Lonchura striata: one gene and its partner. The protein of the gene in region 1 purifies or fractionates together with the protein of each later gene. This does not show direct contact. Links are inferred from orthologs where the notes say so. Each region holds a gene or a part of one and is shown in the gene's direction. Other genes may lie near its edges. The genes, in order: LSM1 and LSM6.

Evidence for each region.
Region 2: the proteins of LSM1 (region 1) and LSM6 purify together in Homo sapiens (co-immunoprecipitation; 3 studies listed by BioGRID and IntAct, counting the BioPlex papers as one, with this or other methods). This does not show direct contact. The link is inferred for Lonchura striata from reciprocal best matches to the Homo sapiens genes LSM1 and LSM6.

Annotation. Positions count from the first base shown.
Region 1 is NC_134634.1:4,382,263-4,397,593, reverse strand, and holds LSM1 (U6 snRNA-associated Sm-like protein LSm1), read left to right. Parts: upstream 1-10,311; 5' UTR 10,312-10,378; coding exon 10,379-10,424; intron 10,425-10,590; coding exon 10,591-10,659; intron 10,660-11,131; coding exon 11,132-11,247; intron 11,248-11,770; coding exon 11,771-11,941; 3' UTR 11,942-13,060; downstream 13,061-15,331. Other genes in the region: triacylglycerol hydrolase DDHD2, read right to left, coding at 839-959, 1,448-1,537, 2,095-2,285, 3,332-3,515; BAG4 (BAG family molecular chaperone regulator 4), read right to left, coding at 6,835-7,320, 7,680-7,925, 8,634-8,873, 10,124-10,171. UniProt on the Homo sapiens protein: Plays a role in the degradation of histone mRNAs, the only eukaryotic mRNAs that are not polyadenylated. Probably also part of an LSm subunits-containing complex involved in the general process of mRNA degradation.
Region 2 is NC_134606.1:62,307,432-62,322,856, forward strand, and holds LSM6 (U6 snRNA-associated Sm-like protein LSm6), read left to right. Parts: upstream 1-8,030; 5' UTR 8,031-8,066; intron 8,067-8,695; 5' UTR 8,696-8,714; coding exon 8,715-8,808; intron 8,809-11,927; coding exon 11,928-12,041; intron 12,042-13,552; coding exon 13,553-13,587; 3' UTR 13,588-13,729; downstream 13,730-15,425. UniProt on the Homo sapiens protein: Plays a role in pre-mRNA splicing as component of the U4/U6-U5 tri-snRNP complex that is involved in spliceosome assembly, and as component of the precatalytic spliceosome (spliceosome B complex).

The DNA of each region.
Region 1 (15,331 bases):
ACAGCGCCCAGCAGGGACCAGAGCTGCTGGAGGCACCCCTGTGCAGGGCAGGAGCCTCCCACCCTCACCTCAGCCCATGAAAAGCCTCCTTAGTGCCTGATTTACACCTCAAGGCTGCTGGGATTTCTCACATTTCTTAGTTCTGTTCAGTTCAGCTGCCCTGGGATGGATCTGGACCAACAGGACAGCAGAGGAAGGGGTGGTGGCGTGTTCACAGGGAGGTGCAGGATTGGGAGGTCCCAGAGCAGCTGCCCCCTGCCCAGCCCACTCTGATGAACCCCATGGAGCTGCATCTCCCAGGCAGGCCCCAGGTGGAGTCAGGGCTTGTTCTCTACTTCCCACACACCTCAGATTGCATATGTGCCTTCCTGAGGGCACCCTTGGAAAATGGAGCAACTGCCTGATGTCCTCATGGGGACAGGTCCTGAGGCCTGACTGGGAGCTCAGGGCAGCTGGGAGGGACAGAGCTGACACTTGGCTGCAGAGATGGGGACAGCATGTGCCCCAGAGAGTCACCAGCACAAAGGTAAGTGACCAACCACTGTGTTCCCAGCAGGGAAAGAAACTCCCCTCCTGTACAAATCGAGACCTCAGGGGTCATTTCAGGCAGCACAGAGCCCCCGGAGCTCTGTCTCTGCACAGGAGCTGGAAGCTCACCACCCTCCCCTGGCTCTGCAGCTCGCTGGGGCTGGGGAGGTTTCTGAAACCATTTGGATCCTTTTGGCACAAAATGTTTTGAGGTGCATTTCACTTAAAGGATCACGGGAGCTTCCTTGTGAGTGATCAGGCTGGAAAGCTCTGCAGGGTTTTGGATGGGTGAGGGGAGAAGCAGGCTCACCACTGGGGATCTCCACAGCGATGTTGTCCACTCCTCTCTTCACCGTCCGGGGCCGGCCTTGTTCCGTGGGGGTGGAGACCCAGTCGTCAGAGCTGGCAACGGGATGGTAGTGAACCATCAGCTTGGGAACAAGAAGAGCCTGTCAGTGACCTGGGAGCAGGACAGCCACAGCAGAGTACTGAACCATCAGCTTGGGAACAAGAAGAGCCTGTCAGTGACCCGGGAGCAGGACAGCCACAGCAGAGTACTGAACCATCAGCTTGGGAACAAGAAGAGCCTGTCAGTGACCCAGGAGCAGGACAGCCACAGCAGAGTACTGAACCATCAGCTTGGGAACAAGAAGAGCCTGTCAGTGACCCAGGAGCAGGACAGCCACAGCAGCTGCCGAGTGACACGGCGTGGTATCAGACTGTGCTGGGCCCTGCCCTTTGTCCACAGAGGTGCTGGAAAGAAATGTGAAGCCGTTGGCAGGCTCAGCTGACACTGCCCTCTCCTCTGGCGCAGGCAGGTGAGTGGAATGGCTCTGGGACAAACCCATTTGAAGGGAGCAGCACAAAGAAACCCAAGGGTCCTGACTGGTCACCACAGAGACCACCCAGCCCTGCTCACCTTTGGGTTGTGCAGGATAATGACTTCTCTGTTGGGGGACTCCAGCTTCTTCTTCCACTCACCCAGGGTCACGGCAATCATGTAGGCTTCCTACAGAAGAGAACACCCACTGTGAGTCAGCTGGAAGTGTGCCCATCAATGTTCAACCTCTTGGGACATTCCCCACCCAATTTTCAGACTCTCTTATCAGTACTCCGCAAAAGAAGCAGAGAAATCAGCTGGAGGAGCAGCAGGGTCATCCCAGGATCACCTGCTGAGAGTGTTTAAGAGCTCCCCGCTTTGCCAGCAGCAGCATCAGACTTCCCCATCCCCTTAGAACTGGTTTTGGTACATCAGAATAGAGATATGGCAAAGATGGGTATTTTTATACGTCTGCCTATACATCTCTACATTTGCGTCATCCCAAAGGAAAGCCTGGCACTTTCAGGTGTGGTGGAAGGATGCACCGAGGCCGGACGAGGGCAGGGGAAGGGGAGGCCACGGCAGAGCTCACAGTTACATCAATCAGCTGCAGGAATGCCGTGCCAAAGCCTCTTTGGAGTTCACGTCCTCAGGCCTGCCTGTGGCCTTGTACGGGGTTTGGGACATCACAGGCAGTGTGTGACGAGGAGAAGCTGAGATGGAAACCAACAGAAAGGTGTGCTTACCTCCAGTTCCTCACTGAAGGACTCCGAGTAGGGAATGAACTTGTTGTCCTTGTCCCCCTTGTAGAACCAGGTGCAGCGCCGCACTTCGGCCGCCTCCTCCTCCCAGTACACGGCCACGCGCTGCCGCGCCCGCAGGTGCACGTCGTACCTGCCCCCCGAGGTGGGGACCACCACGCCATCCTGGTCCTTCCCTGTGGGAACAGGGCCTGCAGTCAATCCTGGCAGGCCTGGAATGCCAAGTTCCCGGAGGCTGCAGCACCACGGCCGGGCAGCTCAGAGCCACCGTGGCAGCAGATGCCAACGTCCTCTGTACCCGAGTTCAGAGAGCGCTGTCGGGTGAGACACCCCACGTCAGGCTTCCCCCAGAGGCAGAAGATGAAAACTTTACACTACACCTGTCCTTCTCTCCAGCTCAGGCACATGCTTACGTGGCCTCTCCCTGCCTGGCCAGGAGGGTAAAAGCGAAACTGAGGCCCTGTTAAGTGCATTGTGTAACAGTGGGGGTGCACCAGGGTCTCCTGTCTTTCAGGTGTTCCTCTCCGAAACAGAGAACTCTCTACAGACCCCAATACAGACCTCAAACTGTGAATTTCGCTGCCTGTGGGCTGGGCTGGTGGCACAGCACCCCGTGCCAGGCTGGGCCGGGCAGCAGCACCGGGGATGGGCAGCACAGCCTCTAATCTGAAAATTCCTGGGCGAGGGAGGATGGCAGCCGATCCTTGGGCAATCGGAGCTCTGCCTGTGGCAGCAGCAGGTGGCACAGATGGTGACATTTGGCACACAAGGGCCTCAGCACAGGGCTTGGAGCTGACCTCCAATCCTTGCTCTCATAGCAGGCACAGCTCTGTGCTGTGGGGATTCTCCCACTGGAATTCCTGCCATCCTGGCAGCGTTCTCCCCGCCTCACCAGAGGATGCTTTGCAGTATGATTATATATAATTTAGAGCACTATCAGTTGAATGGGGTCAGACCATTTGATGCATCCGAACAGCTCAGTTATTGGGAGCAGGCACATGGCCAAAAAAAGTCCCAAATTAAAACTCCTCCAGGGAAAACCTAGCATCCCAGGTGGAAGCCATGTGCGTGTCCAGGGACTTTTTCCCTGGTATCCAAGCACACAGCTGAAGCTCCCCCGCCAAGCCGAGCAGGCCCACTGCCCGGGGTGGCTCGGGAGCGGGGCCGCGGGACGGGAAGGCAGGACAGCGGCGGTGCCGGGGCCCGGCCGGTGCCGCCCTACCTGCGCCGTGCGCCTCCTCCAGCCGCTGCGAGTCCTGCGCGCTGAACGGCAGCCAGCGCTCCCGCGCCTCGGGCACCCGCCGGTAGAACCAGTGCGGCGCCACGGCCTCGTACCGCCCGCCGGGCTCCGGCTCCGCGGGCTCGGCGCCGGCCGGGGGCGGCCGCGGCGGCTCCTGCGCCGCCATGGGGCTGCCGCGGGCCGCGCCCGCTCCGCCGCACCGGCGGCTCCGCGCCCTGCGCCGCGAGCGGCCCGAGCGGCCCCGGCCCCGCTGCCCGGCGGCCGCCGCTGCGGCCCGGCTGGCAGCGCAGGCTCCGCTCCGGCCCCGCGACCGCCCAGCCCGGGGCGGTGCTGCCCGCGGCCCGCCCCCGCCGTCACGGCCGGGGCGGAGCGGGCATTGCCCGCAGTGCCCGCGGGAGCTCCGCAACCCTGCCCCTGATCCCCGCCCGCAGCCTCTGCCCTCAACCCCTCCCCGCAGCCCAGCGATTGCTGCCGCGATCCCTGCCCGGGACCTTTGCCTGTCATCCCTGCCTGTTATCCCTGCCACTGATCCCTGCCCGGGACCTTTGCCTGTCATCCCTGCCTGTTATCCCTGCCACTGATCCCTGCCCCTGTTCCTTGCCCGCGATCTCTGCCCGGGACCTTTGCCTGTCATCCCTGCCTGTTATCCCTGCCACTGATCCCTGCCCGGGACCTTTGCCTGTCATCCCTGCCTGTGAACCCTGTTCCCTGTCCGTGTTCGGGCTCATTCCCTGCCCCTGCTCCCTGCCTATGACCCCTGCCCGTGTTCCTGACCCTGTCCCTTGTCCATGTTCCCCGCCCCTGCTCCCTGTGCGTGTTCCTGCCCGTGTTCCCTGCCCCTGCTCCCTCTCTGTGACCCCTGTTCCCTGCCCCTGTTCCCTGTCCATGTTCCCTGCCCCTGCTCCCTCCCTGTGACTCCTGTTCCCTGTCCCTTATCCCTGTCCATGTTCCTGTCCATTCCCTGCCCCTGCTCCCTCCCTGTGACCCCTGTTCCCTGTCCCTGTTCCCTGCCCGTTCCCTGCCCCTGCTCCCTCCCTGTGACTCCTGTTCCCTGCCCCTTATCCCTGTCCATGTTCCTGCCCGTTCCCTGCCCCTGCTCCCTCCCTGTGACCCCTGTCCGTGTTCCTGCCCGTTCCCTGCCCCCGTTCCCTGCCCTCGGCAGTGGCCCGGGTGGGGGTGATGCTGGCCCAGAGCTGGCTGCGGGGCACTGGGGTGAGGGGAAATACCCACCCCCGTGCCAGCTGCGGCAGGAACAAACACTCCAGCATGGGGTGATTGCAGCAGAAACCACGCGGTGCTGATTTAATGTTTGTTTTTCAGTCCCTCTGTGACACTTTAGCCTCTGTGGTGATTGAGAAACTCCAGCACTGCTGGAGAAGCAACGGGCAACCCCAGAGTAAGAGTCTGGTTTCTGTAGAGATGAGCCCAGTGATAGAGACAGACTTTTTAATTTGGGGGTTGTGATGTGGGTGGATGCTGCAAGTGGATGCTGCAAGATAAACCAGTTGCCAGGAGCTGCTATCGCAGTGCTCACCGTGGCACAGCAGGGATTGATGAGGAAGACAGGAGGGTTGGGAGTGCTCAGTTCCCCAGTTCTGCAGCTGGGGCCCATGCAGAGCCTGCAGCAGCGGGTGCTGACACAGCTCCTGCCCGTGTCAGACCGTCTCCACTCGGATCATCCGGCCCAGCTGTGACACACTGGTCCTGTGTGGAGGAGGCAGCAGGTAGGGATGGGTTACAGCAGAGTTTCCTGCAGGCTGAGGTGTGGGATGTGTGCCTGATCCCTGATCACAGCCCAGTTTTGGGGGAAACACATGAAACCCAGCCAGGGATACTGGAGTGTCCCAGGCAGCCACGCCGTGCCATGGCGCTGTGGGATCCCCACGCCCTGCAATGATAACCTGCCATTTCAGCCCACTTCTTCATGTTCTCTCATGGGCTTTTCTCTGGGGATTTACGTAACCCTCTACCAAGGAGGCAGGGACAAGCAATATTGTTGAGGAATATCCTACCTGGATGGGTTCAGCTGATGGGGGAAGGGGGGGCACTCATGGAGGCTCACCAGCACAGTGGCAGGGCAGCACGCTCTGAGTGCTGTGAGTTACTGACCTCCCAGTACAGCCATGGGCCCCAGGAGGCACTGGCCAGGCTGGAAGCACAGAACAGCTCAGCCTGGCTGCTCCCTGCCCGACACAAAATGCAGCAGCAGCTGAGCCCTTCCCTGTCCCACGACATCCAGCTGGCTCCCAGCTCGCTCCAGACGTGGCTGGCTGTGCAGGCTGACCACACGTGGTCATGGACACAGCCAGTGAGCTCCAAAGGTCATCCTGTGCCCGCAGCCCTGTCTGGGAATGTGGGATCTGCCAGCTGCCTCCGGCTGACTGGCAGCACACAGAGCATGGCCAGGGCACTTCCCAGCCCCAGGCATCCTAAATCCCTTCCAGACCCTCTTCCACACCAGCCTTAGAGCCACAGCTGGAGGCTCCTGGAGCATCTACACTGCCTGGGAGGCAATGGGGCACCCTGGCACCCCAGAACAGCCTTCTCAGATATCCCATTCACCCCTGACCTCAGCACCACTCCAGACAGCCTGGAGTCACAAAACCTTCCCACCACTTCTCTTCAAAGAAAAAGAGACTTTGAGACATCTCAATTACAAAATACATTTCAAACTCAGGTGTCACACATAGCACTGAGCTGCTGTGCAGGTGGAAACCAGGAGGCTGGAACAGACAGCTGTTCCCTTCCCATGGTGCTGCACAGTGGGACACAGAACTCGCAGGATGGAGAGGGACATGAAACAGGATTCTGACCCAAGTGACCTGGAAATCACTTCCAAGCACCCTGGTTCTTTCCTTGACTTGCACTTCTCCTTTCCAGTGGCAGAACTGGGATTTCCAGTCTGTTCCCATGCCCACAGGGACACCCCACACTGGCCCTGCACCACACAGGAGGAACAGCACAACGTGACATGTGCCAGCAGAGTCCCTCCCTCCAGCACTTCAGTGCTGCTCCTTGAGTGCACCAAACCCTAACAACCCCTATGGGGACACATGAGGTTTATGGCAAGGGAGCTGAAGCTGAAATTACAGGCAGTGAGGACAAGCCCAGAGTCTTGGTTGGTGGCTGCACATTGCAGCACATCTGAGCAGTGTTTGAAGACTGGCTGTGGCTGTAGGAGGCACCCAGAGATTGGGCCCGGCCTGGGGAACTCTGTACACAACCCCACAGGGCCCCATCCTTGGCCCAGTTCTCCTCAGCATCCTCATTAAATACTTTTGCTGCTTCAAACCTCTTCTCTGTCCTTTGCTGAGTTGTTTGCTGGGGCTGGGCTTCTGGGCTGGCTTTTTGGTGGGTTTGATTTGATTTGTTAACTCCGGGCTTATTGCTATTCCATTGTCAATAGTGCGTAGCAGAAAGAGCTGAGATTTAAGAGAACTCTTTGGAACCTCAACCACAGGCTGTGTGTTGTGGTTCTTGTGCTTTCACAATCCCTTTCTTTCCAGTTTTTCCAGTATGGCCTGAATTCTGTGGACGGACTCTTTCCTGGCCTGCCGGACACTGTCCTGGCCCCCAGTCTCAACGGAATCCAGCTCCAGCAGCAGCTTGGTCAACATCTCCTCCAGCAGTCGGTAGGATTTATCTGTCTTTTTCCCTACAAATTCGTCCACCTCTTCCTCCAGCTGTTCAGCCTCCCCCATCACGTGGAGGATCCTCTGAATCTCCGGCTGCATGGCTGCAGGACTCGTGGCAGGCTGGTCAGCAGGTTTGAAGCCCAGCTCCTGGCTCCTGGCCATGGGCTTGCGAGCAGCGAGGTCATAGAGCTGGGGCTGGGCACTGTACTGCACCCGGGGCTGGCACGGGGCAGGCTTGGCCGCCCTGTGCTCGTTCACTGGCCCCGAGAGCCGCTGGTTGCCATCAGAATAGTAACTGTGCTGGCTGGGGCTTTGCTCAGGTCTGTAGACAGAGTCCTGCAGACAGAGGGAGAAAACATCTCTAAGTGCATTTCCCTTCAACCCGGAGGTTTCCGCTCTCATCCTGCGCCAAACAGCAGACAGGGCTGGGGACGCTGGGGACAGGGACCTGTGCTCTGCTCCCATGTCAGAAAGAGAAAGCCCAGCAAGGGGCACCTGCCCAGAGCAGTCTGAGCCCTGAACCCCCCAACAGGGCTGCTACTGCCAGGCACCAAAAACATGGAGTCACTTAATCCCTGATCCAACCTGGCCTGTCAGACCCATTTCAAGACCCACCCCAGGACATCTTGTCCTTCCAGTACTTTATGGAATTGCAGCCAGGGATTTAAGTCTTCTGCATGCACACAGGACCTCACCTGTCCCTGTGACTCCCAGGTGGGAGGGTGGGAAGCAGCCCCGCTGCTGGTCCAGGATGGGTGTGAATCCGAGACGTAGAGGCTGCCGTGCCCCGAGGCGGGCCAGGCGTAGCGAGGCTGCGCCCCATAGCCAGAGTGGGGGCCCCACGTGTCCTCCAGGGCTCTGGGCTGTGGCACCAGGCCCTGCCCCGTGAGCCCTGTGCTGCTGTCCCCGTATGGATACTGCGGCACTGGCATTCCTGGGGTCTGCACAGACAGGGAAACAGGCGTTACAGAGGGGTCACTGCCAGCCCTGCCCCCTCACACAGCCCTGGGAGCTGGGACGGGCATTGCAGGGGGGTCACTGCCAGCCCTGGGAGCTGGGACAGGCATTGCAGGGGGTCATTGCCAGCCCTGGGAGCTGGGACAGGCATTACAGGGGGTCACTGCCAGCCCTGTCCCCTCACACAGCCCTGGGAGCTGGGACGGGCATTGCAGGGGGTCACTGCCAGCCCTGTCCCCTCACACAGACCTGGACAGGCATTGCAGGGGGGTCACTGCCTGCCCTGGGAGCTGGGACGGGCATTGCAGGGGGGGGTCACTGCCAGCCCTGTCCCCTCACACAGCCCTGGGAGCTGGGACAGGCATTGCAGGGAGATCATTGCCAGCCCTGTCCCCTCACACAGACCTGGACAGGCATTACAGGGGATCACTGCCAGCCCTGTTCCCTCACACAGCCCTGGGAGCTGGATGGAACGGCTGCAGCTCAGGTTGGCTGCCCAATTCCCACTTTCCCAGCCCAAAAGCTGAGGGTTTCCAAAGAACAGGGTGACCACCAGTTTTGGTAAGATTAAAGCAGGCAGGACAAGACACTCCAGAGCCACGGGCACCCCCAGCCCACCAGAGCCTTTTCCCCCTGCACAGCCCCACGACACGTCCCGGGCACCACTCGTGCCGCGCTGGCAGTGCCCTTACCTGTGGCGGGGAGTAGCTGGGGGCCTGCTGCCTGCGGAGGGCCGAGCCCTCGGGGGGACACTCCGGGGGGCCGTAGCTCCAGGCGGGAGCGGGCGACGGGGGCCGGTAGAGGCCCGCGGGCTCCGGGGGGTAGGGGCTGCGCGCGGGCCCCGAGCAGTAGAAGCCCCGTGCCTGCGGCAGGCTGGCGTAGTGCGGGTACGGGGGGCTGTAGGCTCCGTTGGCATAGGGAGAATCCATGGCCTGGGGACAAGGGAAGAGCACAGGGAAGGTGACGGGACATGGACACAGGCAGAGGTGCTCCAGGAACAAGGTCTGGCCCTTCCTGCATTGAACCAGGGGGTTCCTTTGCCCTCAAGTGATCTGCCCCAGTTTTAGGCTTTCCTGGTCTAACCTGGCTGTACCAGGTCTAGCACTAAGCTTAACCAGGTCTTGCTCAGCCGAGCTGGGCTCAGGGGGAGGCGTGCAGCCCCTCACAGTGAGCAGCTCCTGGAGGATTCTATGCCAGTACTGCATCACTGACGGGAGGATGGAAAACTCTCCAGAAAAGTTCATTTCCCTGCTGATTCTCAAACAGACGAGCTCTGCCAGCCAGTGTTCAGCTCCTGGAGCTCCTAGAGCTGCAGCTCATGTGCATCTCTGTACGGAAGGTCTGCACACCCAAGGACATCCGAGGGTTTACCGGGATCCATCCCATGTTGTGTAGGGAACTCGAGTTTCCACCTGACAGCAGAGGGGATGTGAAGCACAGGCTTTCAGGAGCTCGGGGAATGACTCCCTGTACCTTCGGGCAAAGCAGTGTTCTGCCCCTGAGCTGCTTCCAGAGCGCAGGCTGTGCAGCCTGTGTGCCGGGATTTATGGAAGGGCTGGAGAAAAACCAAACCAAACCAAACCAGACCAAAGCACGGCTGGAGGGCAGAGCCTGCCCCGGCCGGGCAAAGCCCTTCTCGCCACACGGAATTTGCACGGCAGCCCGAAACGCAGCTGCCATAAACGCCGCAGGTACGGATCCGGGAATGCCCAGCCCCGTGACCGGGGCCCTCCCGCTCCGCAAAGCGCTCCGGGCCCCGCGTTCCCGGGATCCCCGCACGGCACAGGCGCCCGTGAGGCGGCTCCGCCGGCAGCGCCTCCCCGCGCTGCTCTCCGCCCCGTCACACGCCCGGAGGGCTCCGCGAGAAACCGGCGGGGCGGGGGAGGCTCCCGGGGCCCGCCCTGCGCGCCCGTTATCGGGGCAGGGCCGGGCCGAGCGCTGCCGCCCGCCCCGGGAATTGTGCCGATCCCGGGGCCGAGCCCTCCCGGGGCCGAGCCCTCCCGGTGGCCGAGCCCTCCCGGGGCCGTGCCCTCCCGGTGGCCGTGCCCTCCCGGGGCCGTGCCCTCCCGGGGCCGTGCCCTCCCCGGTGGCCGTGCCCTCCCGGGGCCGAGCCCTCCCCGGTGGCCGTGCCCTCCCGGGGCCGAGCCCTCCCGGGGCCGTGCCCGCCCCTCGCCCCCGTTACCTGCGCGGCCGCCGCGGGCGGGCCCGGCCCGGCCGTGCGGGGCTCCATGGTCGCCGCCAAGGCCACGCCCCCGCGCGCCCCGCGCCCAATCGGCGGCCGCTCCCCGCCCTCGCCGGCCAATCGGCGGCGGCCCCGCGCGCACGGCTGGCGCGGCTTAAAAGGGCAGCGGCGGGTGGGCCCCGCCCGCGCGGGCGGTTCCGGGGCGGCGGCGGCGGCGGCGCATGGCGGCGCTTCCGCTGCGGGCGCGGCGGCACCATGAACTACATGCCCGGCACGGCCAGCCTGATCCAGGACATCGACAGTGAGTGTCCCGGGGCGCCCCGCCCCGTCCCCTCCGTGGCCCGCCGGTGCCTGCCCTGCCCCCGGGTCCTGCCCGCGGTTCCCCGTGCGGCGCCCGGACCCCTCTCCCCGTAGCGGGTCCCGGAGCCGTGGGGCCGTGGCCGACCCGCCGCTCTCCTTTCCCGCAGAGAAGCACCTGGTGCTGCTGCGGGACGGGCGGACGCTCATCGGGTACCTGCGCAGCATCGACCAGTTCGGTACGGCCGGGCCGCGGCAGCGCCGGGGATGGCGAGGAGGAGGAGGGAGCGCTGCTTGCCAGTGGGCTTGTGCTGGGGGTTGAACCCCCCCCTCTGTCCCCTGGACCCCTTCTCCCACACCTGGGAGCTCCCCGTCCCGCCCTTGCATCCAGTGCTGGCGCTCTGGCGTCGCTTTCTGGGGAGAAGCAGCCGGGTGATGTTATGTTCGTCCTCCGGGTGATGTTCATCCTCCGGCCAGCACCCCGAGCTTGCAGCACCACCATCGCCATCATCTTCTGTGCTGCGGGGGCCCGGGTGGGCTCGGAGCCGCGGGGTGGGGACAGTGTCGGTAGCTTCGGTGACCCGGCTCCGGGCAGGCACCGAGCGCCAGGGGAGAGCCAGCGCCGGTGCTGCTCCGGTGGGACGGGGGACACTGCTCGGCCACAGTTCGCCGTGGAACGTCGGTGTTTTTCTCTCTGTCTCGTTGCTGCAGCAAACTTGGTGTTGCACCAGACTGTAGAGCGCATCCACGTGGGCAAGAAGTATGGGGACATCCCCCGGGGCATCTTCGTGGTGAGGGGCGAGAATGTGGTGCTGCTGGGGGAAATTGTAAGTGCTCGGCTCCCGCTGCAGTCTGGGCCCGGGCTGGGGGGTTGTGGTCTGCCTGTCTGTCTGTCAGCTCTGAAATGCGGTTGCTGTTGTGGGCTGGAATCGGAGCCACCTCCAGGGCCAGTTTAGGCTGAGCCAGCACAGAAATGCCAGCCTGCATGGCAGGGCAGCCTCCTGCTGCCGCAGCCCCTCTGGGATGACACCAGAACGAAGAACAACGCAGAGGGAGCTGTGGGGAAGCTCCAGCTTGTGTGGCACTGCTGGAGGCTGTCATGCTGGCTGCCTGTTACCTCCCTGCAGACACCACCTGGGATGGGCTCAGGAGGAGCCGAGCGCTGTTTGCTTTGGGGTGCCCAGGAGCCCCTTGCCAGGGCTGTGCTGGGGATCCCTGCCCACATCCCCAGCCCTCAGGGCGCTTCCAGCACCTCTGTTCTCTGTCAGCCCCACCGCTGGCTGCCGCGGGGGCACAGGTGCCCTGCGGTCCAGGGACGCTGTCAGAGCTGAGGGCTCGTTTCTCCTGCAGGACCTGGAGAAGGAGAGCGACACGCCTCTGCAGCAGGTGTCCATCGAGGAGATCCTGGAGGAGCAGCGGGTGGAACAGCAGGCCAAGCAGGAGTCGGAGAAGCTGAAGGTGCAGGCGCTGAAGGAGAGGGGCCTCTCGGTGCCGCGGGCCGACACGCTGGATGAGTACTGAGGTGCTGCCCTTTCCTGCAAGGAGCGAGGGCTGCTCCAGGACCTGCCTGGGCAGGGACAGACTGCCTTGGAAAGGCAGGTTTCATTTTCAGATTGTATTTTCTGTGGTGCTGGTAACTGCACACAAATCATGCCCTTAGTCTCCTTCTGGAGAAGGAGATGAGGAGGGCCCAGTGCACTGGGAGTGCAAGCATTTGTGTTTGGGAGGCAAATCACTGCTCCTTGGCTTTGTTTGCTTTTTCCTCCTCACGTGACTTTGGGTGAGAGTTTTCCTTGACATGTAAATAAATCCTTGAACCTGACATTGATGGCTTTCCGGTATTCTGGTCCTGGCAGTTCCCCCTCTCTCAGGATGAGCACTCCTCAGGCTAGCTCTTGTCCCCTCTGTGTGCTGTGCAGGGACAGACAGGCCCCCTGGTCCAGCCATGGGCTGGGCTCACTCTGAGAGAACACTGGAGCCCAAGGCAAGATCCTGCTCTGGGCTGGGGAGCAGAACCTGGGTACCCCCGTACCCCAACACAGACCACTCGTACCCCCCAGCTAGGCTGTGCCACTCCCCTGCAGCTGAGCCTGCTAATTACCAGCTGAAAGCACTAATTACCTGCTGGTGAAGAGCTGCTGCACCTGGGACACGGCAGAGCCTGGAGCTCCAGCCCCTCCTGGCCTCGCTGCTGGGGGAGCTGCTGCAGCTGTACCAGGCTGGAGAGTCCTTTGCCCCGTGTGTCCCGGCCCTCCCTGGGGAGGAGAGTCCTTGGCCTCGGGGCTGGCTTTGGGCAGCTGCCAGGCCCCAGGAGCCTCCTGGGTGTGGGCAGGGAAGGGCAAACCTCGGCAGGCACAGTCCCTGTGGAACCTCGGGCAGTGGGAGTTCTTTGGGTGAAGAGTTCCTGCTGGGGGGCAGAGAACAAACAGCTCTGCTTGCTGGGGCTGAGCACAGCTGCCCTGGAGAGCTGACAGCTGTTGTGGCCACTGCTGGCCCCCTCTCACTGGCCCAGGGACCACTTGCTTTGGTGGGAAACATTTCTGCCCCGTTGGGCTTGAGTGGGTGTTGTGGATAGCAAAAGTTTAAACAAAGAAATGCTATTTCTTGTTCTAACAGAATTTAATAAAAGGCATTTATGGAGCTGGCGCCTGTGGCTGGAAAGTCTCTGGCAGGTGGGGATGGCTCTTTGGGGGTGTTTTTGCTGTCCCTGTTTGTTTGGCAGTGTTTTGGGGTGAGGGGGGATCAGGGCAGCGATGCCTGGGGGGAGGCAAGGGCTGCCCAGCCCCGGTGGTGGGGTCCCAGCCCTGCAGCCCAGGGCTTTGGGGGTGTGGGGAGCTGGTGGGGGTCAGGACATGGGCTCACTTTGCTGCTCTTGAGCCCATTATCTTATCAGGGCGTCGGGTCGACCTCTGTGGCACCAGGGGCTGTGGTTTGTCTCTGCTCTCCAAATAGCACCACAGGCAGCCTTGGGATGGGGGGACACCCTGGCCGGGCTGCTGCAGGAGGGACAGGGTCACCCCGACAGCCACCTCTGCTGCAGCCCTGCTGTGGGAACGGGCTGGGAGAGGGGAATGCGCTCGGAGGGGGCTGGGCTGGGCAGGGTGGGGGGTCAGGGCACCCTCAGGGCTCTTGGGTCCCTCAGCCTCCAGGCCCTGGTGCGGCTCCGGTGCCTTTGGTTGGCATCATTGTGGTTTTGTACATTTGTGAACGTTTGTACTTCAAGCCCTATTAGGTGAATGCAAGTGGAGCTGTGTGGTGACTTTGTGCAGGAGCCTGGGGGTGCCTCAGGGGGCTGTGGGGGCTGGGGTGTCCCAGTTAACCAGATCCCCCTGAGGGTTCTGAGTGCTTTTTGGGGTCTGTGTCCTGCTTTGGGGTGTGGCCACCTGCAGCATTTCCTCACCAGCACGGTGTGGCTGTGCCCGTGTCCCCTCCTGAGGGCACAGCTGGGGTCGTGCCCCTCCAGCCCGGAGCCAGAGGGGCGGCTCTGCACGGTTTGTTTTGGTTCTTCTCACAAACAACTGCGTGGCCTTGTGCCGAGGCCGGGAGCGGCGGCTCCATCCGGGAAAACAGCCCTGGATCACTCAGAGCCTGGGGCTCCCCGGGGCTGTGTGTGCCTGCTCCTGGGGCAGGGGACTGCACTGGGATGGGACTGGGAGAGCTGGGGTGGGACTGGGACTGCGAGGGCTGGGGCAGTGCACAGCACTGGGGTGGGACTGGGAGGGCTGGGGCAGTGCACAGCACTGGGGTGTCTCTGGTGGCCCCAAACACCCAGACCTGTCACTGCTCTGCGTGTGCTTGGCCAGAGCTCTGGGCTGGACACTCCTGGCTGAGACTCAGGGGTTCCAAACCCTCCTGGGTCTCCCTCTCCCCATGTGCAGGGAGATGGGAGCAGGTGGGTGAAGCCCAGAGGTGGGGAGAGCTGTGGCATCACCCGGGAATCACACCTGTGGGAGCATGGCTGCAAAGAGGAATTCCCAGTAAAGGTTTTGGAAAGGGATGGTGCAGTTTCTGCCTCCTCCTGATGCCTCCAGCACCTCCCTCTAACCCCACACTGCTGACCTGAGCCTGAGGTATTTTCTGGCACACAGTGGAGGATGGCAGCCCTGACAATACAGAGGAACATCCCGTGGGGCAGCAGGACCCTTCTGGAGGGCAGGTGGGACTCAAATCATCTCAGGAAAGCTGGGGACAGGCTGGGGGAGACAAAGGGCTCCCTGGGGCCGGGCTGCTGGCACAGTGAGGGGGTGACCCCCCCCGGGCCAAGCTGTTGAAATGGGGGAGCAAGGTCAGGCTCCCTGCAGGAGGGTGCAGGGGCTGACGTCAAAGGAAGCAGCTGTAATTCACAGGTTCCTGGGAGTGCTGGTCTCCAAGCCGTAATTCATCCCAGAAATGTCATTTCAGCCTTGAGCATTATCGCTGCTCTGCTGTGTCCCACTGCTGGGGCAGATAACGGGGCCCAGGGAGTAGGGGGCTGCCTGGGGCTGCCCCTCACTTCAGTCCCAGGCTCAGCAGCTCGATGTATTTCATGTTGTGTTTTATGGGCTGTCCTGGTTCTTGTGCACAGCGTGTGCAGAGGCTCAGCCTGGCTTGTTATTCCGCAATAGTTGTGCTGTGAGAGGGTGTCATCCAAAGTGATCCCTTATTATCCATTGTTACCCATCACATTTGGACTCAGTGACCTTGGAGGACTTTTCCAGCCTCAATGACTGTGCCACTGTGCTGGTCTGTCACCTGTCACAGGTGGTGATCATGCTGTGAGCCCCAGGTCCATCCCTGCAAGGACGGCCTGCCAGGCAGGGCAGGAGCTGCTCGGGGGGCTCTGCCCACCCGTGCCCCCCGGGCTGGGGGTGCTGGGGGTGCTGCGCTGTCCCCGCACGCTCCCAGCCCCGTGCGCTGCCCGCGGCCCCGGCG
Region 2 (15,425 bases), on another chromosome or scaffold:
AATTTCCTGTCTTTAATCAAAGTCACCAGCCTAATGCTAGCACAATGTACTTATTGGACCTTGAGATTTCTTGCCATTTTATGGCCTTTTAATCTTATGTTCTTGTATATGATGTTTAAGAATGGTGCGTCTTGAGAATGACATGATAAAAGCTTTCAGTCAGGAACTGGGAGTACATTTAAGAAATGCACATTTTAAATCAGCCTTTAAAATCACTGGCAAATATTTCCTAGACAAAGTAGTAAATTCTCTGGTCTAATGTAGAATGAAATAGGTTTTTGGTACTGGGTTCCTATCCTTTCTCTCAATGAAATAATCATGTGTCCAGGTTATATGTGGACTATATTGCTGTCAATATCACTTTCAAGTTATTAGGTCCAATCAATGCTGGATAAAAGGAAAAAGGGTGGTCAACAGGCAATCTGGCTTTCAGTTTAACACTCCCTTGAGGATTTTCATTATCCTTTCCTTTTCTGTTCTCAAGGTTAGCTCGAGCTAGACTATTTGTAGCTTCAGCTTCCTGGAGATAATGCACATCCACAATAGCCTTGCTCCTCCAACGTCAGAGTGCCCTTCCACCTGAGTAAGCAGAGTCCTGTCTTTTTTCTATTATTTGTGACATTTTCCTAGGTTAAAAGGTGACTCCTGAAGCAGACAGGTTTCACTTCTTACAGTGATTTCAGTGCAAAATGCACACTTCTACCTTGTTAGAAGTGACATCACTGTACATTAAAGACACCATATCTCCTTTCATATTAAAATGCCTGTCAGTTCTGCTGCTCGAAGGCTGTAAATCTGCCACAGTATCCTGTGCTTGGGAGCTTTCATTATGAAAATATGGAAGATAAGCACTCTGCTTTACTGTCAAAAGGAAGAAGTAGTTTGGTAGTAATGAGGTTACTTTAAAAATAAATACACAATTCCTTAAACATAGGTTACTTGATGTGGGGCAATTTTTGAAAGCAATCTTTTTTATCTGAATTCCTAAAAATATTCAATCTTAAAATATAGGATGAGTAAAGCATGCTTATACAGTCCTGTAGAATATAGTAATGCATAGCTAATCATAGCATTTGTTCATGCAGTAAATCATTAGATTTTTCTTTGACTTCGGCCCTCCAGCTTTGAGAGAAATGACATACTAGAATTTAACCTGTTTTCCATCTTTATATAATACAGATACAAAAAGACTTGTATGTTCTGCAAGACGCAGCTGTTATGCACTTGACTGTAGAAAATACAGTCAGTAGAAAAATACCTCCTAAACAGCAAAGGAAAATATAAATAATTATTGATCATTTTCTCCCATGGCATCATTAAGATCTTAATAATACCTTCCTACTACATAAACTTTTCATCCATTGATCTGAAAGCACTTTAGATATATCATTCTTGCTGTTTTACAGAGGAGAGGGTGAGACACAGAGAGGTGAGATGAGCTGCCTCAACATTTGAGAGTAGCTCAGCAGCAGAAGTGAAAGCAGATCCTCCCTCTCTGGACTAACCTGTCCCACGCTTGACTTGCTCATTTCCAAACTTCAAACTGGAAATTTGCACTGTTTGTTGGTGTAACTCTGAGGTGTTTACACAGCATGTGGTTATTAATTTATTATTCATAATTCAACAATGGGATAAATTATCACAGATATTTCTTTATTATTACAACAAAAAATTAAAAATCACCTTATCCATTTTGTGCAAAAACACAAATTCATTGTTATTTCCCATTTCCACCAGAATTCCTTCCAGCTGAGGAAACTTAAGCATGTGAGCATAGCATGTGTATTTTCACATTTCATCTTTCAAATGATATCCTCCATTGTTGATACTCTGAGGAGCCAAAATGAGCATTTTAAGAGTTATTTATGGGCAATGAAGCCTTTCACCTCCCAAGCATTGATTTTAATGTCCAAACTCTACATCCAGAGACAGGAATTTATATTTAGGCTGTCCAATGTGCATTATATGAAATCAATTGGTAATGTCAATCCCAAGAAGACAAGCGGGCAAAAGCCATGGTGGGGAAAAAAAGCCCAACAAAATAAAAACAGAAAAAGAAAAAAAAAAAGAAAGGAAATTATTTGGATGAGGCAGGTGAATGCATAGGAAAAATGTAGTAGCTGAAGAGGTGACACAGTTGGGACATGATCTGATGAGGTAAGATCAGAGGATTGCACACATCATGGAGGAAACCAAAAACATGTGCCACTCAATGGAGCTGGCAGCAAAATGGAACAAGAACCAAAGAAAAAACATGTGAATGCAGTGTGCTTCTTCACCTTCTACTTTCTCCTGGAAGCAGAGAGGATTTTCTTCCTCTTTGTAGCATGAAGTCCCTGCAGAGAGAGTAATGAGAGCTGTAGTTCTTTAACGATCCAAGTCATAAGGATTTATAACCCGTTTTACAGCAATGTTGCCAACACCTTCCTGGCTTCAAAAGCCTGCAAGGACTGATCAGGCTTCTGTATCATCTGTCTTCTGCTCACAAGGGGCTTTTGAACCTTTGCAGTTCCACTGTCACAAACCCTGTCTATGCTGAGTGCTTTTGTAGAATTCTCCACTGTTTCCAACATCCATGCAGGTCCAGCAGCAGCAGCAAGAGTGAGATTTCTAATGCCAGGTGGTCTGGATGGCTACAGGCACTTTATGCTACTTCCCTCTCAATTTTCCAGGTAGGATCAGGTGAGTGAGAAAAGATGGTTGTTGTTTTTTGCCCTAAAGCTCCTACAATTCCTTGGAGAGATGGAGCTGCACTGATGGCACAGATGGCAGTTTTGCCTGAAAGGTGTGAACCACACTGTGGAACAGTGAGTCAGTTGCCCACATCATTCCCCTCTCTTAGAAGATAGCATTTCTCCAAACCTGCTATTGCAGATCCGGAAGAGTTAGTACCTAACCATCAATATTGTTTTATGTAATTTTTCCAGGAATATACTTTTTCTTGTAAAACCAGACAAGAAAAAAGTATAGAGGAATATTTTCTGGCATGTGTGAACACCGGGGAATCAGATCTGAACAGTGTGTTTGAGGTTATACTACTTCAGAAACTGCAGACCCCGAGGACTGGGTCACAGGCAGTCATACCAGATTGACAGATCTCTATTTATAGATAGAATCGTTACTTTCACTAGTGTATACATTGAATTTATATTACAGTTAAAAAGACAAGAGAGTTGTATAATGTATTCTGTGAAAAAATAACTTTTGACTTAACATGAAACTTTATGCTATTATTATTTTCCTAGCAAAACCATTTATTTCATATAGATACAGCCTTCTAATCTTCCCTTTTGATTTTGTTGTTATATTACAAAAGAATTGCATTCTCTTTCATTCCCTTCACAAAATAATGACTTTTTAGTCAATAGCCAGAAATTTGGGCCTATTGAAAAATACCAGCTCACAAATGCTCTAGGAGTGGCCTAACATTGACATTAAATTGCATTTTATTTTTAAAGTTATTGAGCTCTCCTGTTAGTAAGTGGTGATGATAACATAATCCCCATAATTCTACATGTTTAAGGTGGCTGAACACACTTTAACCTTCCTTTTCCATTGAAAATCAGGACAAGGTATATATCGTTATTACCACACTACACATCTGACTCATGCTTACTTCATATCCCCAAGTCTGCATCAGAAGCATTTCTAGGGAGCTGGGAACCAACTTTGCAAATGTTTTGCACCAGCAGGTGAGTTTAAAGTTACCACTTCAACCCCTTTTTTTGCTTAAACTTGATATCAGAGTTTTCAACCTGAAGTACTGAATCAGCTTCATCAAACTGCATGTGGGGAAGCTTACATTTGAATGTAATCTGGAATTGATACTCCACAAGCAAAATATTTAGAGTGTGTCTTTACCCTGATGTGAATATTCTATAGAGTCTAAGCACAAAAGGCTTTGCTCCAACTCTATCATATTTTAGAAAAAAAATCTAGCTAAGTGGTGCGAAAAGAAATCAAGAAGGGCTTCCAGCCTTTGTTTAATAGAAAACACAAACCTGACATGATCTGTCACAGTATATTTTAACTGGACAGAAACTAGGAAAGACAAATATGTGACAAAAGGTCATCATGTCACTTAAGCCATATAGGAGGAGATGAACATCCCAAGGGGGTGAGCACAGTATAAGAAGTTGAAGATGACAGAATTTTGTTAGGCTCTTCTATCTAAAATCTATAGGTCAAACCCAATACTACTTTGAGTAAGGTTCCATTCAAAAATATATTAACTTTTTAGTTGAGAACATGGAAGGAAATTATTAGTTCTGATGATCCTAGCACATCATGGGAAATAATGCTGGATAACTAAGCCTCTGTTTATGGAGAAAAACATCTTTGAAGTTTTACTGTATAGGCACATACAATCATTCACATGCTGGGAGGCTTGAACTCTCCCATCCAAATGCATCCAAAGGGGAATATCAGACCTCTTAATACTCATTAAAAAGCCGGGCCCTTGGGAAGCAAAGCACTCCCAGGAACTCGGAGGGGGTTAAGTGAACTCTGAAAGCTTCTGAGGCTCTTCCTTTCCTTTTGACGGAACTGAAAGTGTAGGAGACAGAGAGAAAGCCTCTGAGTTCTAACATTGTTCTCCCCAGCTCCCTGGAAGAACTGCTGACAGTTCCTTGTCCACCAGGAAGTTTGCAGAGGAGGAAAGGGAAGAAGGTCCCAATACTTCCTTTCTTTCTCTTGCTTCTTCATGCACCCTTCACTTCCTTAATGTCTTATTCCTCACACTCAGAACATCAGAAGAAGACAGTTCTAAGAAGCATAAATCACAGTGAAAGAACACAGCTCCAGAAGGAAGGTTTTGAGACCTCAGCTGTATTTTCAGTAACTCACAAATGTATCCTAAGTAATGGAGGAGTAATTAGCAAAACTTCTGCTGGCTTTAGTGAGAGCAGAATTTTGCCTTCCACCTCTCAAATCCCAAAAATGTACTGTCATGTTTACTTCAGGGCCCTCAAGAAACCCTGCAATATCAATGCTAATCTTGAATTGCAGAGTTTCTCCATATCAACACTATTTCATGGAGGCTGATACCTCCTTCTACCTCCCGTCAGAGAACAAGAAATGCTCCCCTGGATTTGGAACTTGATCTTGTCTATTACTTTATTACATAACTTAAAAAAAAATTATTTCCTCTTTTTCGAACCTAAGAAGACACTGAAGTTAATTGTTAAAATCATGTGATATGCTGTGATTTGGGCCAGAATGGATTTGTCCTCTCTGACAAAAGTTTCAGGTGAGAACTGTTTAAAGATTGAGGCTTTTATTCATCCACTGGGTGTAGCTGGGGATTGTTAGGTTGAATTCAAAATGGGCTACAGACATTCTTTTGTCATCTGGATTGTTGTTGATCTGCACTTAACTTATATAAACGATGTGCAATTCACAGGAAAAGGCTCCTTCTGACCCATTCTGTGTTCTGTAGCCATCTCACTCTGAAAATGCTTTTATTTCAAGTAGCTGGGAGAGAAAAATCTTCCTAACTTTAAAGTGGGTTTTATTGCTAGGAGAGAGAAGAGAGAGAGCATGAGTGAAAGTGAAATCCCATTTAATTTTTAAAGTTAACGGTAAAGTTTTAATTAGGTCCTCTGAACAAGGATTCTGTGAGGCTTTGTGTTTAAGAGTTAGCAATAGATCCACAGACTTCCATCTTAAAGTTCAGTTGACAAAGGCCAATACAACTCTTTACTTTGTAACTACGTAACCATTTATGTTTGAGGTGAAGATGTTAATATGGAAATTTTGTGAGCTGGGAACGACTAAGAACTCTATCATCGTAATTTATGACCTTTCATCTGAGGCCAAATGTAAAGGCAATTGCAATTGTTCTTTATCTCAAGGCCAGCACATAGCAGATGTGTGAAATTTGGAGTGCTAGACATAAACTTTTATTACCAAATTATAAATAATTTCTATCACTTACAATGTTCACCTTTCAAGTTCATCTTGATTAAAACACAAGGGCAGCATCTCGCTGATTTCCATGAGTTACACAGCTGAAAAAGCTCTACCATGGTACATTAGGAAAGGATAAAGCAATGCAGTATTTAAAACAATCTACTGACATCCAGGTATGCAACATTTTAGATAAAAATACTTTTTCATCTAGAGGACAAACAAACAAAAGATAATCATCAGCCAATGACATCTGAATTTTATTTTCACTTTTGGAGATTTGGAACCTTAAGGATTCCATTTAAGACTAATTTACCTCTAGGAACAGCACATGAGACAGCACTTTGAGACCTCTGGCACACCAAGGAAAATTACCCAAGATTTAGGTTCATGACTTGGTCTCAAACTGTGGAAGAAAGGAGCTAAGGATACAGAACTCACCAGTCTCAATGCCCAGGATTCAAATCTGATGTGTTTGTTTGTGAGGTTCACAGGCTGTGAAGCAGGAAAGTACACTGATTTTGTTGACTGACAGCAGACAATCAAGGTATCCACACAGGTAGAAACTGTAATTAAGTGTAAGCCTCAGCTAGCTAGAAAGCAGCCTATTGAGCAGAAAGCAAAACAGCTCATCAGTTTCTGATGGCTCAAAAAACCCCATAAAAGCTCTGAAGGCAAACTTGTAAGAAATAAAACAAAGAGGAAGGCTTACAAAACAAGGTGTCCCTGGTTGGATTTGCAAAATTGCCATGAAAATTTACCAGCCCAGACATGAAAGCTTTATTTGCCAAATCTTTATACTGGAGATTAATAACAATGAAAACAGAAATATTCCCTTATCAAAGCATTACTCACTGAAGCCAGGAAGCCAAATAAAACTTTGCAAGTCTGCTCCCTGGAGTAACTATTTTATGTTCCTTTTCTGCTTCAAATACTAGATATAATCAAGCACAGTTGGATGCTCCTGATTAACATGACGGTTGCCTGGAAACACAAGCACAGTGTGGCCAAACTTCCCTGTCCCTGCCTGTGCTTGAACTCTGGGACAGGCAGGTGAATAAGGTCAGGTTTGCAGCTCTTGCCTCTTAAAAGCCTTTTAGTCTAAGCATTGGAGAAAAAATTGTTACTGGACACATGTTCAAAAAGAGAAGATAAACAACTCCAGAAAGAAGTGAGAATACAAATCTGTGTTCTGAAAAGCCATGGTACATTTTCTTTGTATCATGAGAATTGAGAGGTTTGACAAGATACTAAATCAATACAGGACAGATAAAAAACCCAACAAAACAAAGCAGTCCAGAAGCTTTCACAGATTATTAACTCTTGTCATAGTATGAAATCGTAAAAAAAAAAAAAAAAAAAAAAAAAAAAAGAAAGAAAAAATAAGTATTTGAAGTATTTTCCAGACATCAGGGGATAGCTGCGAGAAAGGAGGAAAAACAAGTGAGATGATGGGGAGAAGCAGAAGAGTAGAAGGTGAGTTCAGTTTCTTCGTATGCCAAGTTATTCCCAGGTGACTTAAAAAAAAAAACAAAACTTATCTGTGTTCACTGATTCCTCTGTGAAATGACCTTCAGCACTTCCCTGGCTGGTCCTGGACAGATCCCTGTGAGGTGCTCACTATGTCTCTGATAAGGACAAGATCATTTGAGAATTAGCAGGGTCTCATTAGAATAGAATATAATAATGAGTACCGTATTGGGTATCAGGAAGAATTCCTTCATGGAAGGGGTGATTCGACATTGGAATGGGCTGCTCAGGGAGATGGTGGGGTCACCATTCCTGGAGGAGACTGGAAAGCAAAGCCTGGAAGCGGCCCTCAGCTGGGCAGCGCTTGGACTCGCTGGTCTCTGAGGCCTTTCCCAACTTCACTGATCCTGCGGGGCTTTTTCCCACAAGACACCCTGTAAACCTTCCACACTGCAAGATTTCTCTCCGATGGGGTGTTATTTCGCGCGGAATCCCAATCAAGCCATAAAAACCCCTCACCGCCCTGAAGGGGCCGGGACTCCCCCCGCCAGACCGCGGGGTGGGGCCAGACCCCTGAGGGCGCGCCCGGCCCGTCCCGCCTTCGACCCGCGCGGGCCGTCCCGCCCGGCCGCCGTAGCGGGGCGGGGCGGGGCGGGGCGCGGGAAGCGCCGGGAGAGGCGGTGGCGGCGGTGAGTGCGGGCCCGGCCGGGGCCGTGTGTGTGCTCCGGGCTGGCTTGTCACGGGCCGCCTGCGCCCCCGGGCTGGCTTGTCACGGGCCGCCTGCGCCCCCGGGCTGGTTTGTCACGGGCCGCCTGCGCCCCCGGGCTGGCTTGCCGTGGAGCCGCGCTCTCCGGCCGGGCTGGAACGCGAGGGTTCCACCCGGGGGCAGCGGCTCCAGACGCGTGTGCGGTCCGGGAAGGGGGCGCAGCCCTGGGCGCCAGCATCGCTGGCGGCGGTGGGTGTCGGTAGGGAAACTGGATCCCCGGGTTCACGGCTGGATTTGCCCCAGGAAGCAGCGAAATGAAGCCGGCACCGTGCGGGTTTTCTGTCTCTGGCCTTTGGCACTGTTGAAATTTAAAAGCTGCACAGTGTGGCAAACAAAGATTCTTAGTAATGCTTTCAGAAGGAGTAAAAATGCCGAAGGGAAAGTGGAATGCAATGGCTTTAGGAGCTCTGTCTCCCCACCTCAACCTTTAGAGTTTTGCTTTAATCTCTTTCTCTTATGGAAAGTATTACAAATCAGGGGTCTGCTTGTCTGTACAGAGTATTTAAAACAATGTGGAGGCATGTCTCTTATCCTAATGTTTTCACTTCTTAGCTTACCAGAGAAGATCACGATGAGTCTACGGAAGCAAACCCCCAGTGACTTCCTAAAACAAATCATTGGAAGGCCAGTTGTTGTAAAATTAAATTCTGGAGTTGATTATCGAGGTAAGTTCTCTATCTGTCTCTCACAGTGAGTAAAGTAGTTCATTGAGGAGGCTGGAATAGATGCATTGATTTGGAAAAGAAAGGCAGTGTGATCCAGAATCATGGAGTATGAGGATAGATATCTCAGAATGGTGATGGCAAAATAGAAAAACAACTCCGGAGAAAGTGTTAAAAAGAGGGGGTAACAACAGTGGATTTAGAGGTTAAAATTACTGATCTAAGTTATTAGTGTCATTGGTCACAGGTGGGTAAACTGGATGATTTTGAGTTTCTAAGCTGATACTTGGAAAGATTGTCTGGAATTACAACTCCTGAAATGGCCAGGAACACTCCTTGTTGGAACTATGTACTAGGCTTTTCTTCAACTTTTTTTTTCTCTATTTAGTTAATACAGATCTTGATCCAGGAAAACTTCAGAGTAAACCATGCTGTCAGTCACAACAGAATTCTTACATGAGGGATGAAAGCATTATTGACATTCTTGGTTAAACAACTGCCTGGACCTGTGCTGGACCAAGGCTCACAGAGATACAGGAAAAGGTTTAGTGTAGTTTTTGCAAGCTTCATTTTAACACAGCCCATCAGTTTTATTCCTGATTTCTTCAATCTATCAGTATACCTTCATGTATATAGAATTATAGATTTTTTTTTTAACCAGTAAATTAAAACTCTGTGCAATGAAATGTTCTGGTCCTGCTCCCATTAAGATAACGGGATCACTCTGACCAATTTTTTTAGCAGTATCCGAACTCAGTCAGACCTAATCATGTATCTTCTGCTGTGCTCAGTTAAGAAATTTTATTCTGTAATGACTTAAACTTTATGGTTCTGCAAAAGACCCCTTCTTCAGAGAGGTTTACCTCAAGTGGCTTACATTGGCACTTGTGTGAAGAGACTTGTTCGTGCTCTGACGAGGAATCTTTGTGCTAGGACAATATTAAATTGTTACTGTTCATTGACTGAGCAAGCAGTGGCATCTTACTCCTTCCTGTTTCTCTGCGGTGTCAATCAGCTGGCAAAATTTTCAGTCTCTCATTTTTTTGAGAACCACATTGTCTGAGTACTTCAGGTGGGTTTGAGGGCTTAAGAAGTTTGCTGCCTCTCTGTAAATTCTTTAGTGCAGGAGAATGTAGAGAGAGCTCATTAAAGTCAATTAAAGCAAGTCCTCATTTACCTGAGGGTACACAGAAGGCAAGGCCAAACCAGATTTGGGTTTTGCTGCACTTCCTATTTTCATTGAGACCATTGCTACCTCTCCCTTGGTAAGATCCTTTTGTAAATGCTGTAGATTAACGACCCAACTTACCCCTCAGCAAAGCTAGTTTAATGTGCCTACTGTGTGACACCACATCACATTAATTGAATAAGAGTTCCTTGAACACCCTTATTTGTTACTGGATTTTTCCTGTCCTTCCCTTCCTTCTTTCCCTGCACTCCTTTGATCTTGTGACAGAAAATCTGTGTAGTGTTTTCATCTGAAAAATATGCACTTAGTTTGTTTTCTGGAGAAATGTGACCAGCATTTGTAAAAGCCAAATATTTACAAAACAGCATCTCGGGCTGTTGTTGCAGATCTGTCCAGATTCTTCCCCAGACTGTGTTGCTGATGCTTTTGTTGCCTCCACCCTCGGAGGCCCCACACACACACACCTCATGCAAGTGTTGATGTGTAACTGAACTGTCTTCAGCCATTGCCAGGTGCTGCAAATGTCCAAGACAGGAAGCCCTGAGAAGCGATCAGGGGTATATTAATGTATGGTTCTGTGTGTCAATATGGATATGTACATTAAAACATCTCTACATACAGATGAAAGAGATAAATTGCTAGCCAGGATGGGCAGTGATAATATTTGATGCCATTAGTGATGTAAGAGTAAACAAAAAGAAAAGGAGGAAGAGAATGAAACAACCATGAATGCACTCTCGAAGCAAAAGAGTTTGAAAATACTGCATTTATGGCCTACTAAGTTGTATGTAGCTCAGGTAAATCCACATGGTCCAGTTTTAATTTTGTACAAACATATTTTTGCATCCTGTGCTATGTGGATCCCTTAGGATTACTGGAGTGGAAAAGAATCCTGACTTTGGTTTTGGTCTTCTTGCTGCATTTAGTGGCACTTTGTGAGCAGTTTTTCCTGTCTGTGGAAACAGAGGAGAGAAAAACAGAAAGGAAAATAATAACCTTTAAGCCATGACAAGTTGGTAAAGAAGTTGAATTCCTGATTATTAACTAGACGATCCTGCAGTAACACTTCTGAAAAATTAGAATATGTCCTGAGTTTTCTCCCTCTTCTTAAGTACAGCTAATACACTATATTTCATGTCTTACTGCCAGGTAAATAGCTAGGTGTTTTTCAAACAGAGGAAAAAGTTATTTAAGTAAAAAGTTATTTATCCTGTGCAAGGATAAAGACAGAAAAACCCACATGCAAGAGGAAGATGAAACAACTTGTAAAAAGCTGTATTACCTCTGTCCTCCTAAAATGCATATATTCCTGATCCAGAAAATTGTCTAATATTACAAATGACATATTTTTTCCTTTAATTGCATTATCAAAACAGAATAATTTATTTTGAATATTTCAGTGGCCTTTGTTGAAAAATGTGTAGAGTTTTGTTGACATCAAAGCAGACTTGCAGTGTTCTCCTAGCTCTGTAAGCATGAAGACAAATATGTGTCTGCTGTCCTGTATTAAAAGGGTTGTTTTTCAGCTATATCCTTCACAAGTTTTGTTGACAACCAGTTTACATAGCTTTGTCCTTAGGTTATCCTGTTACACTTAATGCCACAGGTGTTTTTTTTTGGTTTGTGCTTAAAACACAAGTGAGAAAGGACAGCTTAAACTTTCAAAATGGAAATTGTCCATCTTTTGAAATAATGCCTTAATAACTTCTTTACTCCCACAACTCTTACACCAACTGATAACTTTGCTACCGGAGATAATGGGATTCCTTTCTCCCAGCTGAATTCTTTGAAGACATCTCTCCATGCTTGGGTTTTTAGTTTGTTATAAGGATACAGGGTAGGCTTTTTTCCTGTACTATTCAAACACAAAGCATTTTTGTTTATCTTAAAATAAGTTCAAGCTGATTCTCTCTTAAACTGCCACTCTTTTCAGGTGTCCTGGCTTGCCTGGATGGATATATGAACATAGCTCTGGAGCAGACTGAGGAATATGTAAATGGACAGTTAAAGAACAAGTACGGGGATGCATTTATCCGAGGAAATAATGGTAATTCCTACTCCTGTTACTGCACGTTAGAAATTGTGTTATGATATTCTGAATTTGAGGGATGGCTGAGGTGTAAGTAAGCTGCCTGTAAGCCTAAACTAATATTCTTTCTTCGAAATCTTTACAATATTTGCATTTTACAGTTTCACTTTCCAGGGTCTCTGCTTTTCTGCATTCCTGTGGTTGTTTTTTCTTCTGAACTTGAAGTTCATTTAGAGCAGCATGCTCTTTTCTAGCTTTCTTGGAGCTTATTTTCTACTCTGTGACTTCCTTACTCTCTTGCACTTACTCCTTGCTTAGATGACCTCTGCACCATAAGAGTTTGTGGTATGTAGGCAAGCTACTGCATAAGTTCATGCTACAATGCAGATATTATAGTGACACAAATATTTTCTGGTGAAGCAGTTTTCCAGGACTGAATGAATGCTTATCCTTAGTCCTGGAGGCTATTTTAATCTTTTGAGTAAAGATTTTACCACCAGTCAAAAAAATCACTCATGTTCTAGTATGGAGCCTTTGGATATCCAAGTGCAGTAGGTGGATTCTAGTGCACTTCAAGAACAATCCCAGGCTCCTGAAATGACTCTCTGGTATCAGGTTGTAATAGCAGGACATGCCAGGAAGGAGAGTATCTAAAAATAGAAAAGGTTCACAAGTTGGAGGTGAAGAGACTTGTAGATGAGGTAAATGAAGCAGAGTTTGACCAAGTTGCTTGTGAAGAAAATGGAGCTCAGCAAGAAGGGATGGAATCAAAAGACACAAGGGCTGAATCCCATGTTAGAAAAAGAGTCAAAGAGAATGTGGTACCAGTGTAAAAGAGCATTTTGGGTGGAAAAATAATCCTCCAGCCCTTGTTTTTGGCAAGGCATTTGGACTATTATGCTAAGAACTGGAGTGACATTTCAGCTAGAGAATCCATTAAGGAAATAATCTGTTATGAAAGTTAAAACAAGTGGATGAGAGGCAGAAGGCTCAAGAACAGGCTGAACAGAGAACTGAAGACATGTGGCAGGTTTAGGAGGACACAATATCATTTTATGTTGTGACTGGATCTGTTTTGGGGATGCCATCAGCCAAGCAGGAGGAAGATGTCTCTTCCTTTATAACTAATCATTCGTTTTGCCTTAAGTGCTTGGGATTTCCAGCTTTTTTTGAAAGATCCCAGCATTAGTGTCTGACATCTGTAATTCTGCTGCTGAGGAACTCTCTCACGCTCTCCTCAGTAACACTGCAGGGCACTGCCTTTGGTCCTGCTCTGTTCAGCCTACATCTGCTGGAGCATAGTTGGGCTATGAATAAAATAAATACTGAACCAAAGTAATACATAATGTTTAGAGCTACTGGCATTTTTTGAAACCTGGAGTTAAAGGTGGCCTGGCTTTGTTCATGCTGAATGGGATCTCTTACAGTGTCAATTTATATGCCATGGAAATAAGATGTTTTAAATAAAAAGGCTTATGCTTGTTATTTACCAGGGCCCTCCTCTGTGTGCCACTTTCTCTTTTTCACAGTGTTGTACATAAGCACCCAGAAGAGGAGGATGTGAAGATGCCAGAAGGAGGCTGTTTTTTTGTACTTGTGAACCTCTTTGAAGTGATGAGCCCTACTTGATTTGTAGTTCAAAATCCACAGGTGAAATACACAAGTGTATAAGTATTTTTTTTAATAAATGTAAACATGAGTGTAAACTGCCTCAATGCTTTTGTTTCAAAGCATTGCTTTGTTCCCTTGTACAGAAAAGGAATAAAAGAGGAGCATGTAATAGTGCTGCAAGACTAATTTGAAGCAACAGCTCATTTAATTATGCTAACAGTTACAAAAATACTGACTGGAAGGTAAGCAGGCATGGAGTAATTGTAAATCAGAGGCCTGTATTGATGGCAAAACAGTGGTTTAACTGATGGTGGGACAGGAAATGCTAATGGTTTGGTGACAGTGACCTGTCCCTTTTGGAAAACATGGGGTCAGCTTTAAATGCCAGGCTAGTAAGAGTCATCAGCTACAAAGTTCAGCTGTCCAAAAAACCTTGAATTGTGGATTGAATCAAGGAATGTAACAGTGACACTTCAACAGTTAGGGGTGGGGAAAGAATTGAATCAAATGGAAGAAAAGCCTTAAGGGTGAAAAGAAAGCTCTGTGCCAGCTGAGGAAGTCAGTCCGAGGTGAAGAGCTCTCAGTTGGTATGTCAGTACAGCCTAGTAGCTACTTCACCTCCTGCCTGTGTACCCCCCACCCTTCCTCTGCTTGGGGTGACCTTTTACTTGTGCTTCTCTACCAAACACAATGGACTTCTTCAGTATAAAGCAATTATAACTAATACCTAAATCTACTTCTGAAAATACACTAGGAATCTGAAAGCTTTTATAAACATGCCACAAGTGTCCTCTCCAGCCAGTTTCTTCTTTCTCCCATCCACTGCCCCCTCAACCTGGTACCATCTCTATATTCCATCTGTCTAGCCAGAAATAAGGAGTGCATTAGAGTATGGGGTGTGCATTAGGGAGGGAGGGGGAACCTCTGAGCTGACAGCAGAGAGGGAACTTGTTTGTGTTTATTTTGCAGCAGTACTCCCAGAGAATCAAAGCACAGTGAATAAAAGCAGCTTAATTTTACATGGATACTTACTTTTCCTTTTACATGCAGTCAGCCAAGAAGAAACCTAAACCAACTCTGAAAATTCAGATACTCCTTTACCTGAGTGATCCTGCACTTAACATCACACACTCAGAATGCTTTCTTCTTCTTCATGATGAAGTTATAAGTTAGGATAATGTACCTCATGGTGAGGTTATTGAGCCAATTTTTTACATGAGCTTTCTGAAGCCTGGCTTTATTCCTTGGACAGTTTATAATGCCTCCAGGAACAAAAATATTTCTAGTTGTGGATGGATTAACACAAGACAACTGTGTGAATATAGCATTGTTCCATTCTTCCCAAGTACCAGTCTGATGCAAGCAGGGAATAGTCACATTCCAATTATCAAAGGGAGAGAATGTGAACTGCAAATTTAAATTTTATGTTTTTTTTAAGATGAATTAATAATTCTAAATTATTTTGCAGTCAGTAGTTAACCTTTCCACATTAAGCACTTCAGAAGACATGACAGAACACACAAATAGAGTTGCTACTGTACAATATACTTCAGTAACTTAGCATTTTCTGACAAGGGTTGAAAAAGGTCCAGGATGAAAGACAAACAACCAACTTGCTCTTCTGTAAGTGACTTTTTTTTTAAAAATGTACCTCCAAGTGAGGCAAGCAATTTTTCATTTGCCTTGTCATCTATATGTAGCTAGCAGGTAACTGTCTGCTTTCAGTCCTGGAGACTGTCTAAATTTTATTGTTTGGTTTTTTGTTTTAATACAGGATTAATTTTTTTCTCT